4 linked regions of the Notamacropus eugenii genome follow. The protein of the gene in region 1 interacts with the protein of each later gene in a pairwise test. Links are inferred from orthologs where the notes say so. Each region holds a gene or a part of one and is shown in the gene's direction. Other genes may lie near its edges. The genes, in order: CRY1, PER2, BMAL1 and PER1.

Region 1 (7,249 bases):
GCTTCCTTCAAGCCTCCACCCAGGGCCTCCCTTTTCCTCTACTTTTTAGGGGTTTTTCATAGGCACTCCAGTTAAGACTATAGGTGCCTTCTCAGAATAATGATTTTGAATGCAAAAACTACAAAAGACATATTACATTGAAAAACAAGTTCTTGGACCCCAGAATAAGAGCCCCTACAAGCTGTTCATGTTTCCTCCCCATCTCAGATTTTCTGATCTGTATCAAGGCTGTATGTGTATTCTGTCCCTGCACCCCATATTCTCTATATCCCCAATAACTAGCAGAGTACCTTGTATATAATAGGTGCTGAATAAATACTCCATGAATTGAATTTTCAGGCTCATACTAGCGGTATGACCCTGGGCAAGTCACTTAGCCTATGTCTGCCTGCAAAATGTCATCTACAACATGGGGGTGATAGTAGCTCCTAACTCCTGGGTTGTTGCGAAGCTAAAGTAAGATTGTTTTTGTAAAGTGCTTAACAAACCTCCAAGTACTCTATAAATGCTATTTGTATTATAGTTGTTCTATCCGGACATCTAAACTGGATCAGTGAGGGATCAGGGGTTTAACCTGTAACATCTGGCAATAGGTACAGGGAGATATAAATACCCTTTGACCTAGCAATATCACTACTGAATCTGTATCCCAAAGAGATTTAAAAAAGGAAAAGGACCTATATGTACAAAAATATTTGTAGCAGTTCTTTGTTGGGGCAAAGAACTGGAAATGGAGGGGATGCTCATCAATTGGGGAATGACTGAACAAGTTGTGGTATGTGATTATGATGGAATACTATTGGGCTTTAAGAAATGATGAGCAGGATGCTCTCAGAAAAACCTGGAAAGACTTTTATGAGCTGATTCAAAGTGACATGTGCTTTGTACTGTGTACAAAGTAACAGCAATATTGTAAGATGAATCAGCTGTGAATGACTTAGCTATTCTCAGAGATACAATGATCCGAGACAACTCTGAAGGACTTAAGATAAAAAATGCTATTCATCCCCAGGGAAAGAACTGACAGAGTCTGAATACAGACAGAAGCATACGGTTTTTTACTTTCTTTTTTTTTTTTTAATTTTTTTATCAGTTTTCTTTCACAACATGACTAATATGGAAATGTTTTGCATGACTACACATGTAGAACCTATATGGAATTGCTTGCCTTCTCAGTGGGGATGGGTGGGAAGGGAGGAAGGGAGAGAAGCTGGAACTCAAAGTTTTAAAAATGAATGTTAAAATTTGTTTTTGCATGTAACTGGGAGAAAATAAGATACTAAATAAAAACAAACAACAAAGAAAAGATAAAAATAATGATCCCTGTTCTCAAGGAGCTTCCTTTCTATCGGATGGGGAGGGGGAAGAGTCTAGAATGACTGAAGTTTTGAACCGAGGGAATAAGAGGAGGAGGATGCTATCCTGGGAAAATATGGAAGTGAGTTGGGGAAAAGGTGGTGAAAACTACTGGATGTCTTCAGCTTTGGGTTCCAGCCCGTCCAGATGGAGGCATCCAGTAATGGGTTGGAGTCACAGGGCTGGAATTTAGGAGAAAAACAAGGGATTCTGACCCCTGCATAGAGGTCATCATGGAACCTGCCAGGGAAGATAACAGCCCCAGGTTAGAGTGTTGGGGCTGTCTACCTCTTTACAGGTGCATGGCGGGTCTAGAAGTGATCACTAATAATAACCCCAGGTCCACCTCTTTATAGGTGCATGGATAGTCTACAAGTGATCAATCAGAGCAACCATGACTGGAAAAGCTGCCCCTGGATTCCCAATTCTGGGCACCCTGTGGGTTGGGCAAACCAGGAAGTACTCCATGACTTTCATGCCCCATTTAAGGTAGAAACCTTAAATGTTCTTCAAGGGAATGAATGGAAATTTCAAGCAAGTAAAGGGTAGGAGCACTTCTCTGTGTGGTCATACTCTCCTCATAACAGTTTTATGGGAAATAATGAGAAGTGGGAACAGGTAGCACATGGCTGCCCCACTGATGTCAATGGAGCCAGCGCCCACATCATACAAGGAGTAGAAGGGTGGGAGTGGGTGCCTGGAAGGGGAAGGAGAGAAAAATTTGTAATGTCTCCCAGCCACTCCAGATCTCTGGATTCCCAGGATCCAAGAACCAAATAAGATGGGAAAAGTGATACTGAAAATGCAGATGGGATTCATAGGAAGGTTACCTGGTGGTGTCTGGGTGTGCCAATCTCTTGGCAGAGGGAGTTAGAAGAGAAAATGAAGGAAGGCCATAGAAAGAAGGCTTGAAGATTAATGAATGAAAATGGTGGGCGGGACAAATTCCTGGAAGATATGATAAGGTATAAAATCAAGAGTATAAGAAAAGGCATTTACTTGGACAAGTTGGACTTCCTTCAAGCTAGGAGTAAAGGAGGGAGACAGGTATAAATATAAACAGGTGTTTAGGTACAGATTTGAGGAGAAATGAGAACTGAAGACGGGGGAGATTTAGGAAGTTAGGATGATCTGAGGGTATGGAGACATGAGTATCAGAGTTTATGCTCTGGAACTATTTGAGGATCTATTTGAGGGTAGAGAACATGACTTTGTAGCAGACCCAGACGGCATGATTACACGGCTTCCTCTTCGAGGCATTCTGAAGGATGGCAGAGGACAATGGGAGTGACTCAGGATTGAGAGTCTTCGTAGTGTAAGCGAAACAAAAGAACCAGGGATTCAAGGTACATGACGGAGCCTTGTTGAACTGGTTAACTATAGGGATGAGACAATGAAGGCAAGCAAAGAGCAGGCATAATGTACTGGGGGAAGGGAGTCAGGACTCAGAAAATCAGAGGATGCTGGTGAGGACCAAAATCAGGTTTAGGAGTGAGACGTGGACAATGCTGGAGGATGGGAGATTGGGATTTCAGATCCCAAGATCGGATATCGAGGGAGCACAGTTTGGTGTGAAGGGGGGGTGGGTCTATCCCTTGGATGGAGGGGAGATATTGATCATGGGAATCTAGAGGAGAGTATTGATGGGAGGGGACAGAGGGGAACGTTTATGCTTAATTCCTCAACCATGAGGGCAGAGGGTGGAATCAAAGACTCAGAGATTCCTACGAAAGACGCGAGAGGACCAGGAAGGCTGCAGATCTCAGGGCCACGAGGTTCCAGACCTGATGAGTCAGACCGGAGATGTGAGCCTCCAGGGGAGGCTGCAGAAGCGTTGGAGGGCCCCGAAGGGCATCAGCCAAGGGGGAGGGTCTGCTTGCCCTTCGGCTGGGGAGTTTGACAAGAGCTCGCAGCCACCGAGGGCAGCCTGGGGGCTTCTAGGGGTTAGAAGAAAAAGTGGCCAGGCTCCCCGTCGCGGGAGAGGTGGGGAAGTAAGGCTTCTCAGGTTCGTTTCCAGAGAACGTTCATCCCCCAGAGTCCGACTCGGGGCTACCGTGAGAGGCCGTCAGAAAGAGGTCTGGCACCCCAAGTGGAAGCGGGCCGAGCTGGGCGAAGCCCCCGGGGGTGTCACAAATGGATGCGGGTGGGGAAGGGGTATCCCCGATCCTGGAGATGGGGTGTAGGAGAAGGGGAGTCACGCAGCCGTTGATGAAAGTGACCCCCGGGAGTGTCTGGGAAGAGAGGGTCACCCGGGGGTGCCTCTGGAGAAGTGGGGCTCCCTGAGGCCCCTAGCATTTAGATAGAGCCTCCCACGTGCCGGGCACTGGGCTGAGTAAGTGCTTTTTACAAACACTATCTCCTTGGACTCTCCATAACAATGCTTGGAGATAGGTGCTGACTAGCCCCATTTTACAGGTGAGGAAACTGAGGCAGAGGATGACCCAGATCACGTGGCTAGTCGGTGTCCTGCGCTCCGGACTTTCTGGTCACCTTGGGGATAACTTCTGGGGCCCCCTGAAGACCCTTGAGGGCGCCTTGAAGGGGGCGGGGCACGAAGAGGGTGGGTCAGGCCCAGACTTCAGTAAGCCCCTAGCCCAGCGCTCTGCTGGGGCAGGGGCAAGGGCAGGGCGGGAGCGGCTGCGCAGGCTCACTGCTCAGCACGGGACCACGCGCCGGGCGCGTGCAGGGCCGCCCCGGGAGCGCGCGCGCGCGGCTGCCGCCGAGCTCCTCGCAGCCCCGTGCTCATCCGGGACTCCACCGGCTCCCGGACTGTCAGCAGCCAATCGCGGCCCTCGGGGGCGGGGCTTGGGTGTTGGCTCACGCGGTACGGGGAGAGGTCGCCACCGGCTCCGTGGGGGGGAAGGGGGAGGCTGGGACGCCATCGATACCCGTGAGAGCGAAGGACGGGGAGCGCCGTCAGCTACGACTCACGTCTGCAAAGCCTGCGGCGGCGGCCAGGGGCCGAGCGGCTGCTTCGGGAGCGCGAGGCGCCGCCATGGGTCCCCGGCTCCTCCCTGCCGCCGGTTGCCGGGTGTAGTAAACACACTTCAGAAACGTGACGAGCTGGCGGTCACGTGGCAGGGGCTTCAGCCAATGGGCGTCCGGGGGCGGGGCCTGGGCTGCTGACGCGTCCGCCCCAGCGCGAGGAGCCAGAGTCCGAGCCGGAGCTGGCACTGACTCCGGGAACCCAAGAGCAGGCGGGCCGGAGCGGGATCCGGCCTCGGACCAAGGCCGGCGCCAGAACCTGAGCTTCCCCTTCTTCTCCTTCTCTGTCGGCCCCGGCTCGGGCCGGCGCGGCCACGTGACCCCCGGGGCGTCGGCGCGAGGCTCCCCCCCACCGGTCCGCCGGGACGCGATGTGGCCGGGCGGCCGCGGGCTTCGCTGGGTCCTAGCGCCCGCCGCTCTCTAAGGCCCCTCCGGGAGACGGGCAGGCTGCGAGATGGGAGTGAACGCCGTGCACTGGTTCCGGAAGGGGCTTCGGCTCCACGACAACCCCGCGCTCAAGGAGTGCATCGAGGGCGCCGACACCGTGCGCTGCGTCTACATCCTGGACCCCTGGTTCGCGGGCTCCTCCAACGTGGGCATCAACAGGTGGAGGTGAGTCCGGGCTCGGACAATGACTGGGAGGGAAGGAGGGTGGGGAGGGGGCCCGGCTCCCAGAGCCACGTGTCGATCAACGTGTGATGTCACCGTCTGCTTCCCTCTCCGTGAGAGCCACGAGTCGGTCGTATTGATCGATGATCTATATGGGATACTGTAATTTTCTCGGAGCCTCAGTTTCCCCCTCTGTAAGGGGGAAGGATGGACTCCGAGGCCCTTACCCCAGAGCCACCCGTCAATCATGTTGATTGGCAATCAGTGTGGGATACTGTAATTTTCTCGGAGCCTCAATTTCTTCCTCCGTGAAATGGAGGGGGTGGGCTCTAGAGCCACAGGTCAGTCAGTCAGCATGGGATGTTGTAATTTTCTGTGAGCCTCAGTTTCTTTCTGTGTAAAGTTTGGAGATGCCAGCCACCTCTTCATCCTTATGTGAATCTCTGAGCCTCAGTTTCTTTATTTGTAAAAGGAGGACGTTGGCCTAAATTGGCTCCTGAAGTCCTTGTACCTGAGCCTCGGTTTTCTTTCTCTGTACCTGTAAGGGGGGGTTGCACTGGGTGGGCTGTAAGAACCCTATTGTCCCTAGAACTCATCCTCCGAGCCTCAGTTTCTCTGCCTGTCAAATGAGCAATTTGGGTTACATGGGCTTGGAGGAGCCTCTGATCTCTGGATATGTGACTCTGTGATCCCTCAGGGACCAAACATTTTATGAGGGGTCTGGAGAGGTGACTATGATGTATGTACAGCCTTTTGCAAACTTGAGAGCCCTGTATAAATGATCCCAGCTCTTCTTAGGTGCCTGCAGTGGGGGAGGACTAAGCACTGAAAGAGCTGGTCTGTGGGTTTGGGGGGGAGGGACAGTTTGGAAGGGTTAGAGGTCCCTACCTACAGAGAGCAAAGTGAGCCCCCTTCTCATTCAGTGACTTGGCCAAGGGCACACTGGTAGCGAGAGCCAGACCTCTTCTGGCTCCAAAGCAAGTCCCTGCCATCAAGGAGCTCACTTCCCTGCTGGAGTTGGGGGTAGGTAATGTGCCCCATGCATAAGTCAGTGCATTTGTGGTGGGATGGGGGAGATCTGTGATTTCTGGTATAGGCACAGGCCAGGCTTGGGACTTCAGATCCCACTTGTGACACTGATTCACCTCCATGGGCCTCCCTTTTCTCTAATATAAAAATGAAGGTGTTGGACCCCCTTGGCCCTTCTAACTGTATGTCTGATCCTTGTGTGGTGTTGAAACTCTAAGTATAGAGCAGCAGAGGGCTGCTGGGCAGATGGGGACCTCCTCTGTGCTTATTATCAAGGATCCTGGAAACCACCTCCCTTCTCATTTCATAGAAGAGGACACTGAAGCCCCCCAAAGTAGCAGAACCAGGATGAGACATCCCCTCCTCTCTCTACAGGATCAGAAAATGGTAGCTCTGAAGTTTGCTGAGTGGCCCCTGTTGCAGCCCTCTTTAGCCCCGTTTTATAGCTGAGAGACTTGAAGCAAAGAGGTGTCAGATAAGTTGCATGGAGTCAGGGGGCTAGGAGGGGCCAGAGCTGGGACCTCAGCCTGAATGCCCTGATGCCTGCCATCTCCCAGGCACACGCCACAGCCCTGGGCTTTCTAATCAAGTCTGCGTTTGAGAGCAGGAAGGAAGGAGTGCTATTACTTAAGAATTAAACCAAAACGACCAGAGTTCTCCTGGCCTCTCTGCTCCATTCTGTGTATTCCCCAAATCCAGTCCACCCCAAGCTTGTGGCTTCCTGCTCTCCCTGAGTACAGCCCTGGCCGCCAGCGCGTCTCTGTGTGTACTCTTTGTTTTGGTGCCAGAGCCAAGACTACGGGCATTTGGGGGCTTCTCCACCTTGAGGCTGATGTTGGAGCAGCAGCAGGGCCCGGCTTGTGGCTCAGCTTTTCCTTACTCCGCCTTGTGGCTGAGAAGATCCAGCACACTTGGACTTTATAGGCACCTCAGAAAGAGATCCTCCCAGCCCATCACATGGGAGAAACCTAGGAAATGATGCTCTCCCTTCCTTCCCATCATCCCCCTGAAATATCAGCTTCTAGCCCTACCCTCCCTTCATGGGGAAACTTTCCTTAACAGCCCTTTTCCCTGGATTCCCAGACAGGTGATGATAAATGGCAGAGGAGATTCAGAGCAAATGCTCGCCTCACACCTGGCACTGAGTCAGTGCTAATGGCATCAGACCAGTATAGCACAGGCATTTATTCCTCCAGGGAAAAGAAAACCCCTTAAAAATGGCCAGACCGTCAACTAGAGAATCCTCAGAAGAATCATATCAGTGTCATTG
Region 2 (7,691 bases), on another chromosome or scaffold:
CATAGCTAGTGAGTCTGAGGTCAGTTTTGAACCCAGATCCTCCTGACTCCAGGAGGGGTGCTCTATCCACTGCACCACCTAGCTGCCTCACTATTAAGTGCCAAGCACTGAGCATTGAGGCTACAGTCACAGAAGCAGGACAGTCCTTGTCCTCAAGGAGCTCACATCCCACACATAGAGGAGGGGTGGGCGAAGTTTTGGTCTTAGATGTCCCAGGGATGATGACTGGAGAAGCAGAACAGGGGTGCACAGGGATTGGAGTGTTTACTGATTCTCAGAGTGAGAAGTGGAAGTGGGTGAAAGTCAAGCTCCCAAGTTATAGGCTAGCCAAGGAAGGGGGGAAAGGGAAGGAAGCTCAGAGGCCAGGGACTTCGCCTCTCCCAGACATAGGCTCTAGAGCCCTGGTCTGGAAGGTGGAGCAGTGGCAGCAGAGAAGGAAGAGGCTCTCTACAAGAGGAAGGAGGCTGAAATAGCAGAGAAGTAGATATGGGCACCCACACTGGGAGCTGTCCAAAAGCAAAGGGGCTGTATTGAGAGGTGGGAGGTTCTTCCTTTCTAGAGGTCTTGGAGGAATGAATGAATCAATCAATTTATTATATGCCAGACACTGGGGCAACAAAAACTAGCATACAAGACAGTTACATTCTCATAGGAGGAGACAACCCGCATAAAGCAAAACCTGGACAAGCACTGGGAAGAGGGTTTAGAGGGGATTCTCACTCAGGGAGGCATCATCTTAGTTGGTTTCCATGGTCTGCTCAGTCTCTCGGATTCTGGGATATGCTTTATCCCTCCAAGTTAATTACTAACTTCTTGAAGGTAGAAGGTCAGTATCTATTTGCCTTCAATGTCCAACTCTAACGACCCAGGAAAGAGTCCTGCACACAGTAGGCACTTGGTCTTAGGCAGAATGGTTCTGTTGTCTACTCTATTTCCTTCAGGTCAGCCTCTGATCATCCTCAAGCACCTGTGTTTGGGCCCATGTCCATTCCAATGTCCCTGTTGGTTACTTCTCTCCAGCTTGATTTCTTTGACTCACCACTCGCCCTTCAAGAAGAATGTCTCCAGGGTCATTCTGGCCCATTGGAATCTCTTCCTCTTTGGGGCGGTCAGTCCTTTGTATCTGAAACAAAATCTTTATCATTTTCTTATATTTGGTCTTATTTTTCCCCATCAAGAATGTAAACCCCTTAAAATAGGAAAGATTACCCAAGGATACCACCCCAAAGAGGTTCAAGAAAGAGGAAAAGGGCCCATAGGTACAAAAATATTCATGGCAGCAGTTTTTTGGAGGTAGTAAATAATGAGGAAGAGAGTATGTCCTTCAGTTGGGGAACAGTGGAACAAATTAGGACATATAAATGTAATAGGATATTTTGTAGCATAAGAAATGACAGATTCAGAGAAAGCAAGGAAGTCTTCACTGAACTGATGTGAAGTGTAGTGAGCAGAACCAGGAGAGTGATTTCTCCAAGAACAGTGCTACTGTAAAGGAAGACAACTTCAGAACTTGGATCAATGAATGTACAGCTCTTGAGGACCAGTGACGAAGCCAGCCATCCACCCATAGACAGAGGGTGGTGTTGGATGAGACACATAGTTTCACACAGGCTAATATGCATGGCTGTTGTGAATGAGCATTAAGATAATTTGGTACAAGAAAGGGTTTGTTTGTTTTGGAGGGAGGATGGAGGAGAGAGGGAATGATGATAGTGATACCAAGAAAAGTCAGTGAAGTTTTCTTAAAAATACACAAAACACAAAAAGGTTCAGAGGGAAAAACAGGCCAGAGCAAGTCAAGTCAAAAAGCATTCGTCAAACACCTACTATATACCAGAGGATGCGCTGAGCACTGAAGAGCTTCACAGCTCATATGTTGAATTTAGCCAGCACTTAAAAAAACTCCAAGCTGTCCACAGAGATATCCCCTGCTTCACACATAGGCGTCTTGGGATGTGGAAATGTTCATACTTGGGGGTGGAATAGGAAAGGCTAATAAAAAAAAGATCAGGGATTCCTCCCCCTCCCCCTCCCCCTTTGTATTTCTCAGGTCTCCTGATGGAGTCTTGCATATAGCAGAAGATCCTTGGTTTATTTAACTGATCCTAGGGAGGGAATGGCTCTGAGCTGAAAGGAGCCAGATGGATCCTCAGAGGACCTCAGACGTCATTTGCTCCAACCTCCACCTGGGCAAGTATCCCACTCTTACATTCCACAGGCATTTACTGAGCACCTACTGTGTGCTTGGTTGTGTGTGATGAGCTGGGCATATAAAGGCAAACTGATACACAGTCCCTGCTCTTGAGGAGCTTACATTCTCTTGGAGGAAGAAACAATGTCTGTGTAAATAATGAAATACAAATAAATGCAAAGTCATTAGGGGGACTGAAGGGATGCTAGTAACTGGGAGGTGGGGCAAGATCAGGGAAAATGATTATCCAGACTCTGCTTGAAGACCTACTGGGGAGTTGCCGGGGGAGGGGGACAAGGACCCATCACTCTCTCCCTCCCTCTTTTCCTCCCTCCTTCCTTCTCCCTCCTCTCTTTCTCTCTCTCTCCCTCCATTTCTTCTCTCTGTCTCTGTCTCTCTCTCTGTCTCTGTTTCTGTCTCCCTCTCTCTCTCTCTCTCTCTCTCTCTCTCTCTCTCTCTCTTCTCTCTCTCTCTCTCTCTCTCTCTCTCTCTCTCTCTCTCTCTCTCTCTCCCCCCTCTCCTATTAATTGGACTGCTTTGTTTTCTTTCTATTCACAGAACCTAACACAATGTCTTGCACTTAGTAGGTGCTTAGGCAACATAGGTCAATCAAATTGAATACTTTGGGACATTGCAAGAGAGATTCTTCTTCAGGTATAGTTAATTAGGATTTTATGACTTCTGAGGTGTCTTTTAGCTCTCAGACGGTAAAAAATCATTTTCCTGCTAGAACCCAGAGGAGTGTACCTAGCCCTTGCCTTGGAGTCCACAGAGGCTATATTAGAATCAGGGTGCCACCTAAATTGCCATTTGTGCAAGCCCAGTGAGTCACTCCAAGTCTGTGAGCTTTAGTTTCCTCATCTGTAAAATGGGCATAATATTCATACTTGCCAGGAGGCTGTGAGAAAAGCGCTGTTGTGTCAAAGGAGATGGAACCAATGATTTCAATGATTCAGGAAAGAGTGGACGAGAGGAGATTCCCTTTCCTCAGGCAAATAAGCACCTTCCCATAGACACATCAGCTGAAAAAGTTGCCTCAAGCACCGTGAGGCTTTCCTAAAGTCACGTGACCAGAATGTGGCCAAGGAAGAATTTGAACCCTGCCTTCCTAGCTCCCAGTGCAGCTTCCTGGCCACTGCCTCTCCTGATAGGAATGTGGGTTGCTGTTATTATTATATTTCCTATATTATTTATTATATATCTGTGATCTTATTATATATCATATATAATTATTGTTATTAACTGGGTGCCTGGTCTGTAGGGTCATATACTCAGTGAGATGCTGTCAGGAGGCCAGGGCTGGAATCCTGTCTACTTTTGGTGTCCTTCCTCCTCCGCAAGATGGGGATAGTTGTACATACATTATGTACATATATTTGTATACGTGTATGTAGGTACATGGGACAGCTAAGTGGTGCCTGGAGTCAGGAAGACTCATTTCCCTGAGTTCAAATTCGGCCTCAGACACTTACTAGCTGTGTGACCCTGGACAAGTCATTTCAGCCTGTTTCCTCAGTTTCCTCATCTGTAACATGAGCTGGAGAAGGAAATGGCAAGCCACTCCAGGATCTCTGCCAAGAAAATGGGTCACAGAGGGCTGTGCCTGAAACACTCAAAAATGCATGTATATGCACATATTTGTGTATATACATATCCACCGTATACATGAACATGTATGTGTATATTCTAGCTTGCATATACACGTAGTGTGTGGGATGAGTATATGTAATGTATATACGTCTACATTCTCGTCCTCACAAACGCACACAAAAATCTCCGTATGTCTCTATTAGGTTATCGTCCCGCATCGCGCAAGGTCTGTACGTGCATGCCTTTATGTATATGCTTACGATGCGCAGATGCGCCCAGGTCAATGACAGGATAGCGCTACAATGTATCCCAACTCTCGAGTCGGGGCTGGGGTGGGGGCAGGGTCGGGTTGAGCTCCCGTCCCCGCCCGCCCCCGGGAGTCAATCTGAAGGAAGGCCGGCGGGTTCCTGCTCCGCGCTGGCGAAGGCGGCTCAATCCTCTGCCTGCCTCTTCTCAGCCCACGCCGAGCTCTAACCTGCTTCCAAACCGCAGCCTCCGTCACACTGACGTCAATGGAGCCGGGCGCGTCCCCAGTGGGTGTATGTGGGCGCTAGTCCTCGGCTTTCCCCCTCCCTTCTCCATTCCTTGCCACCCCCCCACTCCTGAATGGATTGGTCCACTCCGCTCCCCGCTTCCCCGGTAACGCCGAAGGCTCTTGAATGAAGCCAGCCCAGGGAGCGGAAGTGGAAGAAACCATCTGGGAGGCTCCGGGGGTCCCCCGCGCGTTCATTGAAGGGCTCCGCGTCGGAGTGAACATGGTGTTCCATGTGCGTCTTATGTAAAACGAGCGACAGGTGGCTCAGCCAGTGGGCTCGCGGCACCGGCCGAGGCCCCCGCCCCGCTATGCAGATGAGCCGGGGCTGCCTCCAATGCCGGGGCGCGGGGGGCGGGCCCGGCGCGTGCGGTCACGTTTTCCACTATGTGACAGCCGCCCGGCCTCGTAGCGCTAGCGAGCGGCGGCCGCGTCGCGTCCTGTAGGTCCCCAGCTCGGCCTCCGCCTCCGCCTCGGCGTTGGCCGCTCGCCTCCCGCCGTTCGGCCCGGACCCGGCTCCTGCTCTTGCGCCAGCGGGTTGGGGAGCGTTGTGGCCGCGCTGCTGCCGCCGCCGCCCGGGGAGCCGCGGTGAGTGCGGGTGGGGAGAGGGGCCTGGAGGGTCGGGGGGGAGGGGCGCGCCGTGGGGAGGGCATGGAGTGGGGAGTCTGGCCCGGTGACGTCACCGCCCCGCGAGCTCCCGCCGGGTGCAGCGCTTTGGGGGGCGATGGCGCGGACGTGGGACGCTTGGCTCCCCTCTCCCCGGAGGCTGGCAGCTCCCCGAGGACAGGCTTTGTCTCCCAGCTGCGGGCACACAGCAGGCGCTTAATTCGTGCTTGCTGCGGGATTGATAGATGCGTACTTGTTGCTTCCTCCATCCTCCTGCAGAGTGCCCCCCCGGGGGGCAGGCCGTGCGGTCCGACCTTGCAGTCAGGAAGGTCCGCCTTCGCTTACAGCCCCAGACGAACAACGACCCTGGGCAAGTCATTGAACCTCTAAGCCTCAGTTTCCTCTTGTGTAAAATGGGGTGAACCCAAAGGAGAATCTATGTACAAGCCATAACGCTGTGTTTAAATGCTAGCCATCACTGTTGTGCGTAGCGCAGCACACAGCTGGAGCTTAATACGTGTTTGATTGGGGTCCGGGGTGTGTGTATGGAGTCAGGGGACCTGGGTGCGAGTCTCACCTCTCTCATGCTCCCTACCGCTATGCCTGGCGGCAGTTTGGAAGAGTGGCGAAAGCCCCTGGGTTCGAACGGGCCGCGAGCCCCCCGGCCCCTGGACAGGGAGCCCCTCGGGGCCGTTCCTGGTCTGAGCCTTCCCGGGCTCGTGGTAAGGATCAGACGAGACGAGGCCCGTGTAAGGTGCTCGCCAGACGTGGCCGGCGTGGGGGGGCGGGGAGCGAGGGGAGCTCTTAACCGGAGCCTGACGGCCTCAGTCCGTGGAAACAGCGCCTCCCCGGGGGCAGAGAAAGCGGTGCACTCGGGTGCTTATGCAAGCTCCCCTTGCCGTGGAATCGATTGGCACGGACACGCTAACAGTCCGACTGCGTAACCGAAATTCATAGTATAACTGTTATTTTACTCACCCGCGTTTTAAAGAGGAAGGAACCAGGATCCACGAAGGCTGCATGACTTGCCTTCTCCACGCCTCAAGAAAATGAGGAGGTTGGACTAGTCCTTCGGGGAAGACGACCAAGGGACCAGGAGGTTGTGACTTGCTCAGAGTCACAGGCTGGGGAGGCAGAACCCAGGCCAGCTTGGAAGGCCAGTGGTAAAAGTGAAAATCAGGGTTCATGGTTGCTGTGACAGAAGCAGGTGTATCTTGCAGACACAGGCAAGAACCATCTTGAGAGCTGATTCATCCTGGACCTGTTTCCTTAAGGTCCTTTCAGCTGCTGGCCTCAGTTTCCTTATCTGTAAAATGAGAGAGAGGGAAATGGCAAAGCACTCCAGTATCTCTGCCAAGGATACCCCAGATGGGGTCACAAAAAGTCAGACACAACTGACCAGCAACACCAAGCTGGAGCTGGGTTTGGGAGACAGGAGGTGAATGTGATTTAACCCTGGGGACCCTGATCACTAAGCTGGCTCAGAGGGAGGAGGGTGAGACCCTCTGGCATGAAGAAAAGAGTTCAGGGCTTGTGTTGTAGGCTTGTTTGCTTTGGCCCAGAGATGTATTCATGGCTGGAAATTGGGGTGTCCATCTAGGAACCCCAAACTTTGTGGGTAAAAGTGAATTATGAGTTTAGTTAAGATCCCAAGTCACAGAATCTTTTAAAACACCAATTTGTACACCAGAAAGGGTATGCAGAACAGAGGGCTCAATGGTTCAGTGGTTCTTTAATTCTCTGGATAGGGAGGTGTGGTCATTATCTTTCTGGAACTCTCTCAGGGCACTGACTTTGACCGGTTTCTTTTGTCTCTCTTCAGTGGACAGAACATTGAACAGTGCCTCTTGGTGGTCTGAAAACCCATGGCCAGTGTTACTTTCCTTGAATGCATTTGTGTGGCCATATCTTAAGATCATTGGGTGGCCTAAATTTATTAAGTTTAATTAAGTTGATAGATTCTGGCAAAATGACTGTTCTTAGAGTGATTTCTTGTTGAAGATGTCCCCCCCCCCCGCAACTGACACAGCAGACTGCTAAGAACAGTAATGTTCACCTCACTGATCGGCAACCAGTCAGTCCATCTAGAAACTTCACCTCCTTGGAATGAAGACTTGTGGCCCAGGAAGTGCTTGGAGGAGCTTCCTGAGGAACAGAATGGACTTTGCCAAGGGCAGTGCCATGGCAAGCAGTTCATTCGCTGGAAGTGGTTTCTTGACTCTGAACTGGTTTAATTCTTCTCTTATGTGCAGTTTTGACAGGTAATCTGACCGACTCCTGCTTCTCTTCCCATTTATTTCATCATGTTTCCCTTAACACTCTCTGTCTTTCCTGCCAAACTGACCCACTCCCCATTCTCTGACCCCAAAATCTCATCTTCTGTCTGCCTGCCTATGCCCCATACGGTACCTCCTGCCTGTTCAGCCATGACTCCTCATTGCTTGCTGCCTGCCTGCATGAAGGGCAGAGCTAGTACAAGGGCCTTCTTCTGGAAGGTGCCCACAGGACTGAATTCTTTTTGGGGTGAGCTTAAGATGCCGATGTAGATTTCCCCTCCCCAGTGGGCAAAAGGGGACCTCTTACAGAACTCTGCCCCTCCAGAGGGCCTCAGATCCTCCCTATGGGTTCTGGAGGCAGCTTCTGCAAAATGCCCCAGAACCCAAGGGCCACCTAGAATGTGCTCTGTCCCTCCCTGGGCCCCTTGACCTTTCCACTTCCTTAGCTTCCCTCTAGGATCAGTCACCTCTGATTGGAGAAGTTTTCAGCATTCTG
Region 3 (7,286 bases), on another chromosome or scaffold:
GCCCTTCAAAATCTGGCCCCAACCTACCTTTCCAACATACATTAGTCCAGGATCCAGGCAGACTGGCAATCTTGTTGTTTCTCACACACGATATTCTTACCTCTGGTCCCCATCCTCGAGTTCCATTTCCTTCAAACTCAGCTAAAGAACTCCCTTCCACATGAAGTCCCTCCTGGTCCCTCTCTACTTCTTCTTCCTCAAATTATCTTCATATATTTGTATATGCATATAGGATCATAGATTTAGAGCTGACATGGATTTTGGGAGGCCAAATCCAACCTTCTCACTTAACAAATGAGAGAGATGAGGCAGACACCAGTTAAGTGACTTGCTCAGGGTCTGAGGTTGGAATTTAATTGAGGTCTTCCTGATTCCAGGCTCCATGCTCTATCCACTGTGACAAAAAGCACAATGCCTGTCACACAATAAAGGCTTAGTAAATGTTCTTTGTTTGATTGATAATGCTGCTTTTCCACACAGGATTGGCATAAAGTCCAGATGGGATTCAATACTTGAAAAATGTATAAAGGACACTAGGTTAGTCTGGTATAACCTGTTCTTGATAAAGCTACTTTAGTTATTGTGATCACTACTTCCTTATTTAAATATTCACTACTATCTCTTTAATAATACATTCTAGACTAGGAATTCTTAACCTTTTTTTGTCTCATGGTCCTCCCTTTGGGCAGTCTGGTGAAGCCTATAGACGGCTTCACCAGAGTAAATTCCAAAGGAAACCAATTATACTGAAATGCAAATTACCAAAATATATTGAAAAAAAATACCACCACAAAGCAAACTAAGTTCACAGACTGCAGTATTATATATCCTGTCAAAACATAGTTGATGTTAACTGGTTTTTACTGAACCACTTTCTCCTCTTCCATTTTTCAATAATGTTTGTTACAAGGTGTAAGGGTAAGTGTTTCAATCCCACTTTGATATAAACACAGAAGGCCCAGGCATCTTGATTGAATCATCATAAGTAAACTATATTCAAGTTTTTAACAAATTTGAAAGGATCGTAGACTTTGGGTCATTGGATAAAAGCAGATGACCTCCAAGGAGAGAGTGCTAAGACAAAAAAAAAGTATCTATGGGTAGATTAAAAAGTAGGAAATGAGGGTAATGGCATAACAAAGGAAAAAAAGACATCAATATTTTTTTTTTAAATCTCACCTGTAATTTCATTGTTGTAGGGAGCTCTAGGCAAGGAATTTCCTACGCCAAAGTAGACCAGCATCCCTTCTATAATTTACAGTTTTAAGAGACTTGCCTGCGGCTCTGAGTTTAAGTGGTTTGTCTAATGTCAAATGGTCAATATGTGGCAGAGATGAGACATGAACCCAGGCCTCCGACACTCAAAAGCCAATTCTTTATCCACATTGCTTACATTGCCTCTCTTTAAATAAAAGTAAGATGAAAAGAACAGCAGTTCTCATTAGTTGTAGACTTTCCAAAAGAACTGAAGTCAAGCTGACCTCTCGAGAGTTCATAGATTCCATTCTCTTCCCATTTTTGACAACTGAAACAAAATTTGCCCAGGCAATTAGGCAACGTGGTGGATATAGCTCTGGGTTACAAAAACCTAAGCACAAATCTGATCTTGGGTACTTACTGTTCTGATCCTGGGCAATCACTTTAACTTCTCTCTGAGTTTCCTTATCTGTAAAAAGGAGATCACAACAACGCCTACCTTCTAGGATTGCCATGAGCATTACATGAGATGATATCTGTAAAACACTTTGTATGCCCTCTACTTCTGATCTTTCTGATATCACTGACAGTGGCTCAAGTCATCAGGATCTTCCAAGTCTTTCAGTTCCTGAGGATTAAGTTCATCTGTGATTTGGTTAATCAAGACTGCATAAAGTGCTATATAAAACTATAGCTACTGCTATTATGAATACAAAGAAAGAGCCTGGAGAAGGGAGGAGGTACACCAAGAAAGAGACTTACAAGAAAGGAAAAATTGGGGTTTGAAGTTTAGATAAAGTTGGAACAGATCCAAAAGATAAAGCACTAGGATTCCAATTAAATTGCAAGTTCCTTATGACCACTTTTATTTATTTCATCTCTGTCTAGAGTACACAAGATAGCAAGTAGTTCTGTGAATGATGTTGACTGACTGACTTTAAAAGGCATTCTACTTTTACTGATTACCAAATTCTTTCAAGGCAGTCTTTGTGGGGGATAAAAAGATGTACCAGGCAGTCCTGCTATCTATTGTGTAGTCTAAAAAGGAATAATTTCAGGAGTCAGGTGATAAGGTGAATAGTCAACCTACCTCAGCTTGTTTCTTCTCAAATTTAGATATGAGGTCCTAATCTCTCTCTTGATGTAGTCTAGGGATACTTAATCTGGGGTTCAACTTTAAAAAATGATCTTGATAACTGTTATTTCAATACAATTGTATTCTTTTGCAACACTATGAATTTCATTTTATGCATTTAAAATATGTGATTAAGGGTCCATAGGCTTCATTAGATTGCTGAAGCGGTCCATGACACAAATCGTTGAACTAATTCCATATTACCAACAGCTCACCGAACATCTCCATCTAGATGTCTGCTAAGCATCTGAAACTCAACTCAAAATGGAATGCATCTTTCCTTCTCTTAAACCTGTTCCTCCAGACTTCCATACTTCTAGTGGGGACAACATCCTTTTAGACACACAGGTTTCCAGTTTCTTCCCTCATTTTTAAGAGCCCTTTCCTCCCTTCCCCATATCCAATCAATTATCAAATATAGTGAATTCTACCTTCCTAATAGCTTTCCTGTTCTCACCTCTCACACAGGGTAACTCCTTAATTCAGAGCCTCATCAGCTTTTGGTTGGGACTACCTCAAAAGACTCCTAATCAGTCCTTTTTCCAGTCTTTTCCTTCTTCCCGTCATTTTTCCACATAGTATCAAAAGTCATCTTTCCTGTTCCCACATCACTTCTCTCTTTAAGAATCTCTGGTACCATCTCCCTTTCGCCTCTAGGATAAAATACCAGTTTCACCTCCTGACATTTAAAACTCTTTCCACTTTGGCCCTGGTCAACCTAGTTCCTTTTACTCACTTTTCCTTTCTATTTGCTGTTCTCTGAAATCTTAATTCCACCTCTCACCTGCATGGCACACCCCTCCCCCTCCTCCACACAGAACGTGTCCTCTCTCACCTTTCTTAGAACTTTCTTATAGATTTCTGCCTGGCATGACTTCCCCGACGCTTTTCCTGGTCCCCTTCTCAGTATCTTCTTCTCGATTTTCCTTGACCACACTTTGTGTACTTGTGGCGATCCCTCAAACCTACAAACTGAATCTTAAAAGTCGATTTAAAAAAAAACCGTTTGTCTTTGTAGCTTCAGATCCCAGCACAGTGTTCTGCACTTGGTATGCGCTTAATAACTGCTTGCTGACTTAGCTAGACTCCCCCTCCCCCTCCTCTGGGGGCTCAGCTGGAAAGGACCTTGCTGGTCTCCTAGGTCAGTTTCAGTGTGTGACCTCTGAGAAGGCCCTTTAACCACTACGTGCCTCAGTTTCCTCCTCTGCACGCACAACGGCTGCGGTAACCGCAAGCGCCCAGGGTCCAAGGCACTCCCGGGAGACAAAATGAGTCGGTGGACTGGAAAGCTTGCTGGGGTGTCCAGGGAGAAGGCGCAGAGGACCGGGGAGGACCCGGGAGTGAAGGCCAGTTCCAACTGCGGGCTCCGGGTCCAGCCCAAAGGAGCCGGGAGGTCGAGCTTGGAATGACTCGGCATCGAGCAATGAAGGGCCACCCAAGGCAACAGGTGCTCACCCCGCCGCCGGCAGAGGAATGCGGACAAGCGGGGCAGTGGGGTGGGGAGGAACCCAATAGAAAAGGAAGCGCCCGCTCTGATTGGAGGCTTCTCCAGGGTGTGAACTTTAGATGAGTGTGCTGATTGGTTGGGATGAAGCGTCAGGTAGACGGCCCCGCCCTCCTACTTCCCCACCTCCTTGGCGTCCCTCTATTGGCCAGAGCCGCTCCCCAGGCTCTCAACGATTGGTGAATCTGACCCTCGGAGCCGAGCTCCGATTGGCGAGCGGTGGCCGCCGAACCGGGGTCCCTCTGGGCTTTTTGATTGGCTCGTGGAGAGAGGCAGGTATCCGGGCTTCCAGGCTCCTCCATTGGAGGGAGGAGTAAGGGGGGGTTGGGCTCTACGATTGGTGGGCTGGGGGCCGGGCCTGGGCCGGCGGGGAGCGGATTGGTCGGAAAGTAGGTTAGTGGTGCGACATTTAGGGAAAGCAGAAAGTAGGTCAGGGACGGAGGTGCCTGTTTACTGGAGTGGGGCTCGCAGTTGCCTCCTCCTCTGCCTCCTCCTGTGCCACCGCCGCTGCTGCCGCCACCGCCGCCGCCGCCGCGGAAACCGAGGAGAGCTGGGGCCCCGGACCGCGCGCCCTCCGGGCAGCTCGCCCGCCCACGGTGAGTTCCTCCGGCTGGCCCGGCGGCAGGGAGCCGAGAGGCAGTGGGCCCCGGCTCGGGCTCCGGCTGCCCTCAGGGACCGTTGACGCCCTTAAAGGCACAGTGCCCCTGGGCCGCCGAGCGCCCTCGGACGATCGGTCTCCCTTAAAGGCACAGACCGCCCCCTCCCCGGTCGGTACCCCCTCCCCTAGAGAGCCTCTCTTAAAGGCGCCCAGGGACCGTTCTCCCTCCGGCTGCCCCCCAGCTGGAGCGGGGGAGGGGGGAGCGGCCGAGGTTCCTGCTGTCACCTTAAAGGTGCAGGGTTCCCAATTCACTCCTCAGACCCTCCCCGCTCCCTCTACCTGTCATGGGGGAGGGGAGACTGTTTGCTGCCTCTTAAAGGGACAGAACGGGGGAGCTGGGGCCGGCTCGCGCGAGTATATTTCAGGGAAGCAGGGAAACCGACGTCAGCCTCTGGCAGGTTTCGAGAAGGGGGGGAATCCTTCTGTCCTCCATCCCCTCCCCCTCCTCGCTCTGAGCAGTTCGATTCATAAACGTTTATTAGACGCCTGCTGTGTGTCAGCCCCTGTGCTAAGTCCTGGGGATACAGAAAGAGGCAGAGGACTTGCCTCGCTTTGGGGGGTGGGGAAAGAGGGAAGAGGGGCGCGAGCTGGTGGTTCGGGGCGACCCTGGCCGGCGCCCCGCTTGCTCTGCGCTTTGGCCAAGCGTCGGAGGGCGTGAGAGAGGATGGGCCACCCAGTCCATCCGGGCGGACTTCCACCCGGGATGTGCTCTTGGTTGGACATTTGGACCCGCGAGTCGAGCCCAGCCCGGGCTGAGCTGACGGGGAGCGCTTCTGGGGCGCGTCGTTAGCCCTCGGGGAGCGGGGTCGCCTCGGTCCGAGCCCCGAAGGCCCGAGGGGTTTGACAGATGTCGGGGGAGGGGCGGGGGGAGGGCCCGGTGTTTGTCCGGTGTTTGTCCGGTGTCCACCGCCCAACCAACCAACCCTTGTTTGCTCAGTGAATGGGACGGAAGATAAAATAAGACTTGCTTTCTGGGACTCTCGTGTTACCCAAGCCTTTCCTCCAGGTGAAAAGGGGAGGGGTTCGGAGAGGGAAGTGTGTTTTGGGGGTGGAAAAGTCTTTGCCCTCGCTTCAGGTATGTTTGTCTTTTTTTTTTTTAAGTTTAGGTTGAGGTGACTGACCTGAATTAAACCCACTTGACTTGCGTCCCCGCCCGCTTTATAGGCTGCTCCACCTTCAAGGTTTCACCTTTCAAACCAATAAATGGTTTCCGTGTTTCAGCAGAAAATGAAGATGAACGTTTTCTTAATTGTGTTTTGAGCAGTTGATTTAGGATTGATCAATAGTCATTCCTTAACAGGCCTTGATTTGGAAAAGATATTTTTAAAATTTGGTGTTTCAAAGCTGCGTTTTAGGTAGCGTTCATTCTGAGGTATCTAGAGCTGTCATTTATTTTTCTGTCATCTGCTGATGTCATATGATAAACTGTACGTAAAATGTCCACTCTACTAGATAATGACTTTGGCTTCTGATGTAAATTTGGCTTGTTGGGATTCTTAATTCATTGATTAATTCATTGTTGAGTTCAAAATGATTTTTACCATTGGTAATTTTGAGTTATGCCTTGATTTTCTTTCGAGTTATTGTCTAACTCCCAGTGACCCGTTTTGAGTTCCTTTTGGCAAAGATACTGGTTTGCCATTTCCTTCTCTAGCTCATTTTACAGATGAGGAAACTGAGGCAAAGTGGGTTAGGTGACTTGCCCAGGGTCACACAGGTAGGAAGTGTCTGAGGACAGATTTGAACTCATGAAGATGAGTCTTCCTGATTCCAAGCCCCAGTGCTCTTGTCTGCTGTGCCACCTACTTGCCCATTGCTTGCAAGAGAAAAGCATTATTTTAAATTTGGTTACCATATCAGTACATTGAAATATTAAAAATTGCAGTTTTCCATTCATATTTTATTGCCAAGTCTTAAAAATGGTTCACTTAACACATTTGAGATGAATTTTTGAAATTAATTTCTGATGCAGGATTTGAAACTACGTACAGACAATTGGATGTCTAGTGGAATTCCCATGTTTTAGATGTAAAAGGTGAATAGCTTAAATTAAAACTATAATATTTGACATGATTTAATTTTGGATTATTATTTTAGCATCAAATGTAAAAGAACCTACTTCTTTTTGTGATATATTTGTGATATATAACCAGCCTTTTATAAATGTAAGAACACTAGACTAGGAGTCAGGAAAACTAGATACAAGGTCCAACGCTGGCATCAACTGCCTTTGTGATTTTGGGTAAGTAAGTCATTTAAGTGAGTCTTATAAGGTTTCACCTGTAAATGAAGGGTTTGGACAATATGATCTCTAAAGTATAACCTTTCCAGCCCTAACCTTCCAAACATAACTAATTAGAAATTCAGAAAAGAATATATTTATCTGCTAAATATCTCTGAAGTGTCTTTGTTTGAAATTTATTCTTCCGGCTGCAAGACGTAGATGGCATGTTTATCAGATTCTGAAAAGATAAAAACCTAGGAGGCCCATCTAAAATTGACTTGCAATCTGAAAGAATCTTAGCTGCATTGATGACAGGCAAATTTAATCACAGCTAATTTTAATCAAATAAAATAGAGATAAATGTAAAGCCCTGTACTGGGGTTAAATTTTTTTCAGCTGAACAAACTGTTAAAGATACATAGGATGAAGAAATCATGGCTAGACAGGGGTTCATATGAAATAGACCTTAGGGATTTGAGTGGTATTGCAAACAGTATGAGGCCACATTGTCTCATGGCAGCCAGAAACACTAATATGATCTCAGATTGCATTCATAGAAGCATGTTGT
Region 4 (7,549 bases), on another chromosome or scaffold:
CCAAGGGAAAAATGCACTCAAATTTAAAATACAATGGCAGTGAGGCACACCTGCAGGACACATGTGTAGCAAAGGTAATGTACAATTCCTGATGTTACAAGGCTCAAAAAGTCTTTCTCTCTTCATAGAGTCTTCGTGATCTGTTCCCAGGGGCGGCTTCTCTCCTCAGCATGACTCTAAATTGCCAGATGTCTTGCTCCTTGCAGCTTGGGGGACTTATCTCTCTATGTTCCTGTTTATCTGAAATATATTTCTCTGTTGTCTGACAGATGCAGAATTGAACTGTTCCCTTCTTGACTTAGTCAGAGAGGCCTTGTTATTGCCTAAAGAAACCAAGGTAGAAAAGAATCTTTTACAGTGAAAACACCTCATTTACACCTTGTAAATGTGTAAATTTATACATTCTAGGCTTTCTGTGACCCAACTGAAGTAGAGAGGTACTACTTTCCTCTTCCCTTATATTAGTTTTAAACTCTTTTGATTACATGTGTAAGAATTCAGGCAACTATATCCTTACTAACACTTGTTATGTGCTCTCCATTACTGGACAAAATCCAATCATTTTTATATTTTAAGCCTTGCCTCACTATCATAAAGCTCCCCAGCTGTGCCTGAGTATCCTTTCATATTCTATCCCACTTACTTCTTGCCACAATATCACAACTTAATCAAACATTTGTTAAGTGTCATATATATGTATATACATATACCTGTGATATATACATAAACACATATATAATCTGGTATGTATGTTAGGTTCTGGAGATAAAAAAACCCAAAACTCTGCCCTTCGGTAGCTTACATTTTGTCAGGGTATAATTCCATGCATAAGTAAACAAAAGGTAATGGAGAGGGAGCAGTAAAAGCTTGAAGGGGGGAAAAGCATTTATTAATTGCTAATTATATGCTTGGCACTTTGCTATTATCCCCATTTTACAGATGAAGACACTGAGGCAGATAGTGAGGTTAAGTAACTTATCAAGGGTCACACAGGTAGTAGTGTGAGGCTGGATTCCCAACTCCAGGTCCATTGTTTATCCAGTGCATCTCTGAGTGGCCACTAAGAAAAATGTCATGTAGAAGGTAGCTTTTGAGCTGTACTTTGAAGAACGTTAAGTATTTTAAGATGTGTAGCCCACATAAAAAGTCTCCAGGTGTTTTCATCCCAACTTTCACTCTCACTGGTGAGCTGGGTTCCCAAGAAGCTAGTTAACTTCTACTCCAGAGTTCTAGGGCTATTCTAAAAGGAAATGAAGTTCTTCTAAAATGTTATCAGCTTAAACCCTCATTCTGGCTGTTTCTCCCCATATCGATGGCTGGTGACAAAGAACATCTTCCCTTTGTCTCTGATTGACCCAGTTATTAGCATCCTAGTATCAAAGAATTATTTCCTGAGAAGATAACATATGAGCAGAATTTATTAAACATTTTCCCCAAATATCAGAGGAACATTTCTTCTAACACTAGGAAGGCATACTCCTCCTTCCATCACCTCAGTCCTTGGGAAGAATGACTTCAAACTCAAAATGGTTGCTATAAAGCATTATAAATTTATTTCCAAATTAGTCACAGTCACTGTTCCCTTAATGTAGAAGGACAAGGCAACTTTGAGTTGATCCCCTGCTGGGGCTGTCAGGCAGGTTGCTCCTTAGGGCAGGCAGCACTAGCACTTCATCTGCTCAGTTGCTTGTAAATTCTGATATGGACTACAGCTTCTAGACCCCTGGTAACTTGCTCAAAAGGTTGAAGACATTTTTGATATTTTTCACCGAAGAGCAGGAAAAAAATAGACACCACAAAGACAGATGTGCTCCTGGCTTCTCGGAAGCTCCAGGTGAGGCTGAAGGTTAACATTCACCAGCACCTGGAGCTGCTATGAAGCCAGGACTCCCAAGGCAATTCACCTCCCTTGCTTATCCCCAGGGAAAGGAAAAGATCCATTTGGCCAGATACTACCTTTTGTATAAACACCAAGTTCTGGCTCAGCATCAAATCAAAAGACTCCTCCTCACCACATAGCCAATGGATAGAAAGTAGCCATAGAATATCTACCCATGATTTGGAAAGGAGGGGTTTCCATTACAGATGCCCAAAAGCTGGCTCACCAAGCATCCACTCAAGGTCATTACATCAGGAAGAGCATGCTCTTGACAACCAGGCCTTCATTGTCCATTCCCTTGACTTAATCCCTTACCAAGACATAGAGATGAGAGTGAATTCCAGTAATGGGAAAAAGCCTGTTTGAAACCACTGAGGCAGGAGCTAGAATGTTGTGAAGAACATCAAGTATGTCTGTTTGGCAGGACATGAGAAAGGGAATAATATGCAGTAAATTTGGAACTGTAGGCTAGAGTCAGATCGCGAAAGATTTTGAATGCCGAACTTTTTGGTATATGATAGTAAAATCTGTATATTATACTAGAGGTAACAGGGAGTCATTGGAGTTTTTGATCGGAGAAATGATATGATCAGACCCCTGTACCACTTTGGCAGCTATGTATAGGACGGACTGGAAAGGGAGAGATGTGAGGCAGGGAGACAAATCAACAAGTTATTTCAGTAGTCCAGGTAACAGGTGATGAAGACTGATGGGAGAGATGTTGTAAGACTTGTCTAATGATTGGGGGTTTGGGAGAGTAAGGAATTGAGGTTGACATGGTGACTTCAACACTCCAATACCCCAATCTTAGTTCATTTTACCCCTTGATCATTTCATATATTTTCTGATCTTTCCAAGCTCCACATTCTGAGTTCCACCACCCCTCTCTCAAATTCAGGTTATCACACCTCACCTCAGCTTAATTATCACTAGGCAAAAGCAGCAGTAAATAGAATCATTAAAGACAGTACAGCTACTGGCTATATGACTCCTGGGCACAATCACACTTGTTTCAGTGCGGCTGTTGAGCAATTTTTTAAGACTTTACGTTGCACAGTATTGTTCTTACTAGGTGTAAGTATCTACATTGCTAGAGATTTGCTCAACTGGAGGTGATTTAAAAAAAAATTCTGTTCCTGTGACGGAGCCCCCCATTTTCCAGTCATCACTTTCCTCATCTTCACACAGCTCCCACCATCATCAGCATCCCCCACATCCCAAGTCCCTCAAGGGCATATTATCTCACATATTCACACAGCTCTACAGCTGGGGCTGTCAGCCTTCCCAATCTCTGAGAGTCACACTGCACCCCAAGGTTTATACTTTATCTCATCGCTGTGAGGCTGCATCTCCTCCATCTCGGGTCCTGACATTATCCCTAATTGATCCTGTACACACCTTGCTGGTACACAGCTATCTGCATTAGACTGTGAACTCCCGTGAGCAGAAGAAAGTGTGGCGTGGGGATGGACAGCGCGTGGCACAACAGTAGGGGCTTAATAAATGCCTGTTCACTGATGGATCGGTAGGTGGCATTCGCGGAGTCTGACACGATTGGCACAGCCATGTATCCCTTCCACGGCCCCGCGGGGTCGGTGGGGAACCTCCTAGGCCACATCGCCCGCCGTGGCCCATTCCCTGTACTGCCCCCCACTACACCCTTCCAGCGCAGCCACCAGACAGCTTTCTTCACCTAAAAACTGTCTGCCCCTCCACCCCACCTCTTCCCGCCGCTCTCCAGCCCCAAGCTCCTCCTTCACGCTCTCCCCCTCCCCTTACAGCCGCGCCTGCGCTAATGCTTGGGGCCGTGGGTGCTGGTCACGTCACGGAAAAATTCAGCTGAGTACTGGTAAACAAGTGGCCGCGTGAGGCGCCCCGCACGTGTCCTCTCCAGCTCCTCCCAAAGGTGGCCAATGAGAATCGTCTAGGGGCGGGACCTCCTCACGCGGTAGGGGACGAGGCAAACCAAAGGAATTTTCATTTGCCAATGGCCATTGAGAAAGGAAAAACTACGTGATTTCCGGTCGGGAAACTAGCAATCAGCGCTAGGAGGTGGGGGAGGGGGCTGAGAGCACGTGGAGTATACGCAGTTCGGCTTCTCCAGGACCAATGAGGAGACAGCTGGGGCTGACGGGGCCCAATGGGAACAGTTCTTGGAAGGACGGGGCGGGGCGGGGCAGCGGCACGCGGATTGGGGCATGGGTCGGCACGCCCAGACCAATGAGCGCATCAGAGGCGTGGCGTCCGGGCTTCTGGGCGGTGTTGTCCCGCGCCGGCTCTGTAGGGGGCTGGCCTCAGTGGGACGGATCTGGATCCTTGTGGGGAAGGAGTACTAAGGGGCGCTTGAGGCCAGAGCCTGGATCTTCGGAGCTCCGGGACCGACTGAAGGTTGGGGAAGTGGTGAGTGGGGCACGGGCCAGCGTGTGCGCAGAGGGGAGCAGGTTACACTGGTAGGCAAGGCGTCCTTTATTACATTCTCTGAGGCTTTCTTCCAAGCTCCCTGAGGAGGGGGAAACTGAGGCACAAAGTAGTTGAGTGACCTGTACAGAAAGTCCCAGGGTCGGGATTTAAGGGCGATCCTGTTTCCGTGGGAGTGGATGTCACACCATTGGGGAAGGTGTGTGTGTGTGTGTGTGTGTGTGTGTGTGTGTGTGTGTGTGTGTGTGTGTGTGTGTGTGTGTGTGTGTGTGTGTGTGTAGGGGCTGTCCATATATATCTGGGGTGAGCTTCTGTGACAGTCAGGTTGTGTGATGATGGGCACTGTCCTGCCAGGGGAGATGGGAGGAGGCTCTACAGAACAAGATACCACAGCCCCCCCTTCATGAAGCTTGCAGGCCGGTGGGGGAAGTTGGAATAAGTAAGTAGGTAATTACTTATATAATACAGAGCTATATGATGAGTGCATGAGAGCTAAGAACAAAGTGCTGAGACAGGAAAAATTATTCTTGTCAGGTTGGGAGAAACTTCAAGGACTAGGTGAAGTTTGAGGGTAGGATTACTCGCAACACAACTTTATGTGGGGTTTGGTGATTCAGATGTATGGTGGTCGTTTGGAGGAGTGGGTTAAGTACTTGTCTTTTGGTAGAACTTGAATGACTTGGAGTGGATTGTGAACTAGATAGAAGACTGATTAAAGTAGAGATTTGGAAAATAAAAGGGTGTCTTGTACCATCTTAGCACTTTGGCAAGTTCCTTCAGCATCAAGCTGGAGTTTGTGATGATCGTAATAACTGATTTATCTATCATTTAAAGTTTACAATACATTTTAAGATAATCCTAAATTATCTCATTTGATAAAATGAGATATTTCTAAAGCACTTCGCAAATCACTAGCTATTCTTATTATCAGCGCAGTGGCCCTTTGTGATAGGTACTATAGAATGTATTATTCTCATTTTATAGATGAGGAAACAGGTTATTAAGACCTTCCTATATGACCACACACAACTAATAAGCCTTGGGGATAGAATTCAAACCAAGGCCTCTCCTGACTCCCAATTCTATATTATTCTTTTCAGGAGATCATACTATTTTTTTAAAAATGTGTGTGTGTATACAATATGTACATGTATGTAGCCTAGCCATTTATACACACATATATGTGTATGTATACATACCTCCTATGCAATGGTGCAAAAAATATTGAAACATGGAAAAGCATGCTGTTTATTATACTATTAGATTTTGGACTATTAGAGATGACCTCATGGGATGCATAAATCCAATATTGATGGGTTCTAATATCCAAACTTGTAGAAAGTTGAATTAAATGGAGTTCTTGAGGAGGTATCGGTCTTAGGTTTGGAGATGATTGGGGGACAAGGTGGGAAAAATGGAGATATATGAGAGATATGATTAACAGAATGGAAATACTTTTTCAGGTTAAATACCTTTTTTTATCCTAATTCTTTAATTATGGGATTAGAAGGAAATTTACCAGGTGAAATGTTGGTGTTTAGGGGAAAAGATAATAGAATCAATAGAATGTTAGACCTGGAAGAAGAATTAAAAATATCTCAGCCACCCCCTCCCCCTCTTTACAGATCAGAAAATTGAGGCCTATAGAAAGTACTTGATCCAGGCCACAGAGTTAATTTTTGGCAGAACTTTGACTAGAAGCCAAGTCTTGACTTCTAGTCCAGTAAGCTACTTTGCTTTGGGGGGCAGTGATGATATCCACATCCCAGGGCCTGTTTGTTTGAGCACCAGTTAAGGGATCTATACTTATATCAACGTATAGAAAATTGTAATAATAGTGCTGGGTTCCAGATAAAGGAGGATAGTGATTATGGATGTGGAGAAGAGATTGAACAGCTTAGCTTCTGAATAAAGTGGAGTCTAGTAGATAGAAGGGAACAGACAGTTTCTTGGGTTCTTCAGGGTGTAGGAAGGGAGAGCTGGATGCCAAAGGGCCAGATTCTTGAGTCTGGAAAAGGATATATCATATAGTATTGTCCCTAGGCTGAGAGGGACTGGACACCTGGGTTCCAGGAACTAGGCCGAAAATTAGGCAGATGGCAAAGAATCCTAGGTATATACCAGACACAAAGATTAGAGAGGTGAGTGACATCTTCCTTGAACACTAGAGTCAAGAACTTTTGTCAGAGTATTAGATATGGAACAGGACCAGAGGCAGGGTAGGGAACTCTTTTTTGTCCCTACACCTGGGAAGGACATTCTCATCATTCCTGCACATATACAAATATGATAAAGGAACAGAAGTGAGGGATTTAGAGCAAGGTAGTATCTAAGACCCAACTGTCCTAAGTCTTTCCTGAAAGCCCTTGGCTTCTCTTCCTGGAAACCCCCTTCACTCAGCCCCATTCCCAACTACTTATCTTTTTCCAGATGCTTAATTAAACCTAATGCTCCATACTGCCAGATCTCTTCTCCATCAGGTCCCTTCCAGGTTCACTTCCAGCTAGAACAGTAGATGATCCCTTGGTCTTCTCCTAAGTCTCTCCAGTTCTGTCTGCACTTTGCTTTGTTTTTCTTATCTTGTACCTGTACCTCTGTCCCGTAACCTTTGGTTGCCACTGTGATCGGCATTTGGAAGGCAAGGAAGCAAAGCCTTGTTAGTCTTATAGAACCCAGCTTTCCACACCCTGGCTTTTTATGACCACGTGAGCAAATTTGGGGTATAGCGATGATAGAACTTGAAGGTCTGGTATGGTTCATTGTAGGACAAAAAGGATTGACAACTGGGTCCTGTAGCTGGCCGACTATTTCCCCCAATTCTGCCTCTCCAGGAACACCTGGCTTTGGGACAGGAAGGGAGTGGGGTGGGGATAGGGAGGGTGAGGAGAGAACCGGGACGGGACGGCTGCATGTCCTAGGCTGACTGCCAAAAGAACAAGATGTTCTCACTGGCCCGGCCACCGCCCTCCCACTGGCTGCCTCCCAAACCACTGCTTCTCCAGGCTTCCAGGATCCCTGCCCCACATTCTTCAAGCCACTTGGCCCCGCCTGCAGCCTGCCCCCTTCCTCTGCTTTGACGTCACTCCTTTACCTGCCCCTTCTCCTTTCATTGATGGCAGCTGGGCTCGGTTACTGTGGGAACAAAGAGACCGAAGAGAAGTAAACTGGGCATGGGGGGAGCGGGTGTGGAGGAGGATAAGGAGGGAGGAAGTGAAGGGGAAGGGAATAAGCATGTATATAGTGCCAACCGTG

What was found.
Region 2: the proteins of CRY1 (region 1) and PER2 interact in a two-hybrid assay, tested with the Homo sapiens proteins (5 studies listed by BioGRID, with this or other methods). The link is inferred for Notamacropus eugenii from reciprocal best matches to the Homo sapiens genes CRY1 and PER2.
Region 3: the proteins of CRY1 (region 1) and BMAL1 interact in a two-hybrid assay, tested with the Homo sapiens proteins (3 studies listed by BioGRID, with this or other methods). The link is inferred for Notamacropus eugenii from reciprocal best matches to the Homo sapiens genes CRY1 and BMAL1.
Region 4: the proteins of CRY1 (region 1) and PER1 interact in binary tests that used the Homo sapiens proteins (3 or more experiments, as listed by UniProt). The link is inferred for Notamacropus eugenii from reciprocal best matches to the Homo sapiens genes CRY1 and PER1.

Annotation. Positions count from the first base shown.
Region 1 is NC_092874.1:289,311,789-289,319,037, reverse strand, and holds the start of CRY1 (cryptochrome-1), read left to right. Parts: upstream 1-4,238; 5' UTR 4,239-4,795; coding exon 4,796-4,953; intron 4,954-7,249.
Region 2 is NC_092873.1:59,040,618-59,048,308, forward strand, and holds the start of PER2 (period circadian protein homolog 2), read left to right. Parts: upstream 1-4,683; 5' UTR 4,684-4,901; intron 4,902-7,691. UniProt on the Homo sapiens protein: Transcriptional repressor which forms a core component of the circadian clock.
Region 3 is NC_092877.1:31,954,053-31,961,338, reverse strand, and holds the start of BMAL1 (basic helix-loop-helix ARNT-like protein 1), read left to right. Parts: upstream 1-4,284; 5' UTR 4,285-4,432; intron 4,433-7,286. UniProt on the Homo sapiens protein: Transcriptional activator which forms a core component of the circadian clock.
Region 4 is NC_092873.1:77,746,829-77,754,377, forward strand, and holds the start of PER1 (period circadian protein homolog 1), read left to right. Parts: upstream 1-4,538; 5' UTR 4,539-7,549. UniProt on the Homo sapiens protein: Transcriptional repressor which forms a core component of the circadian clock.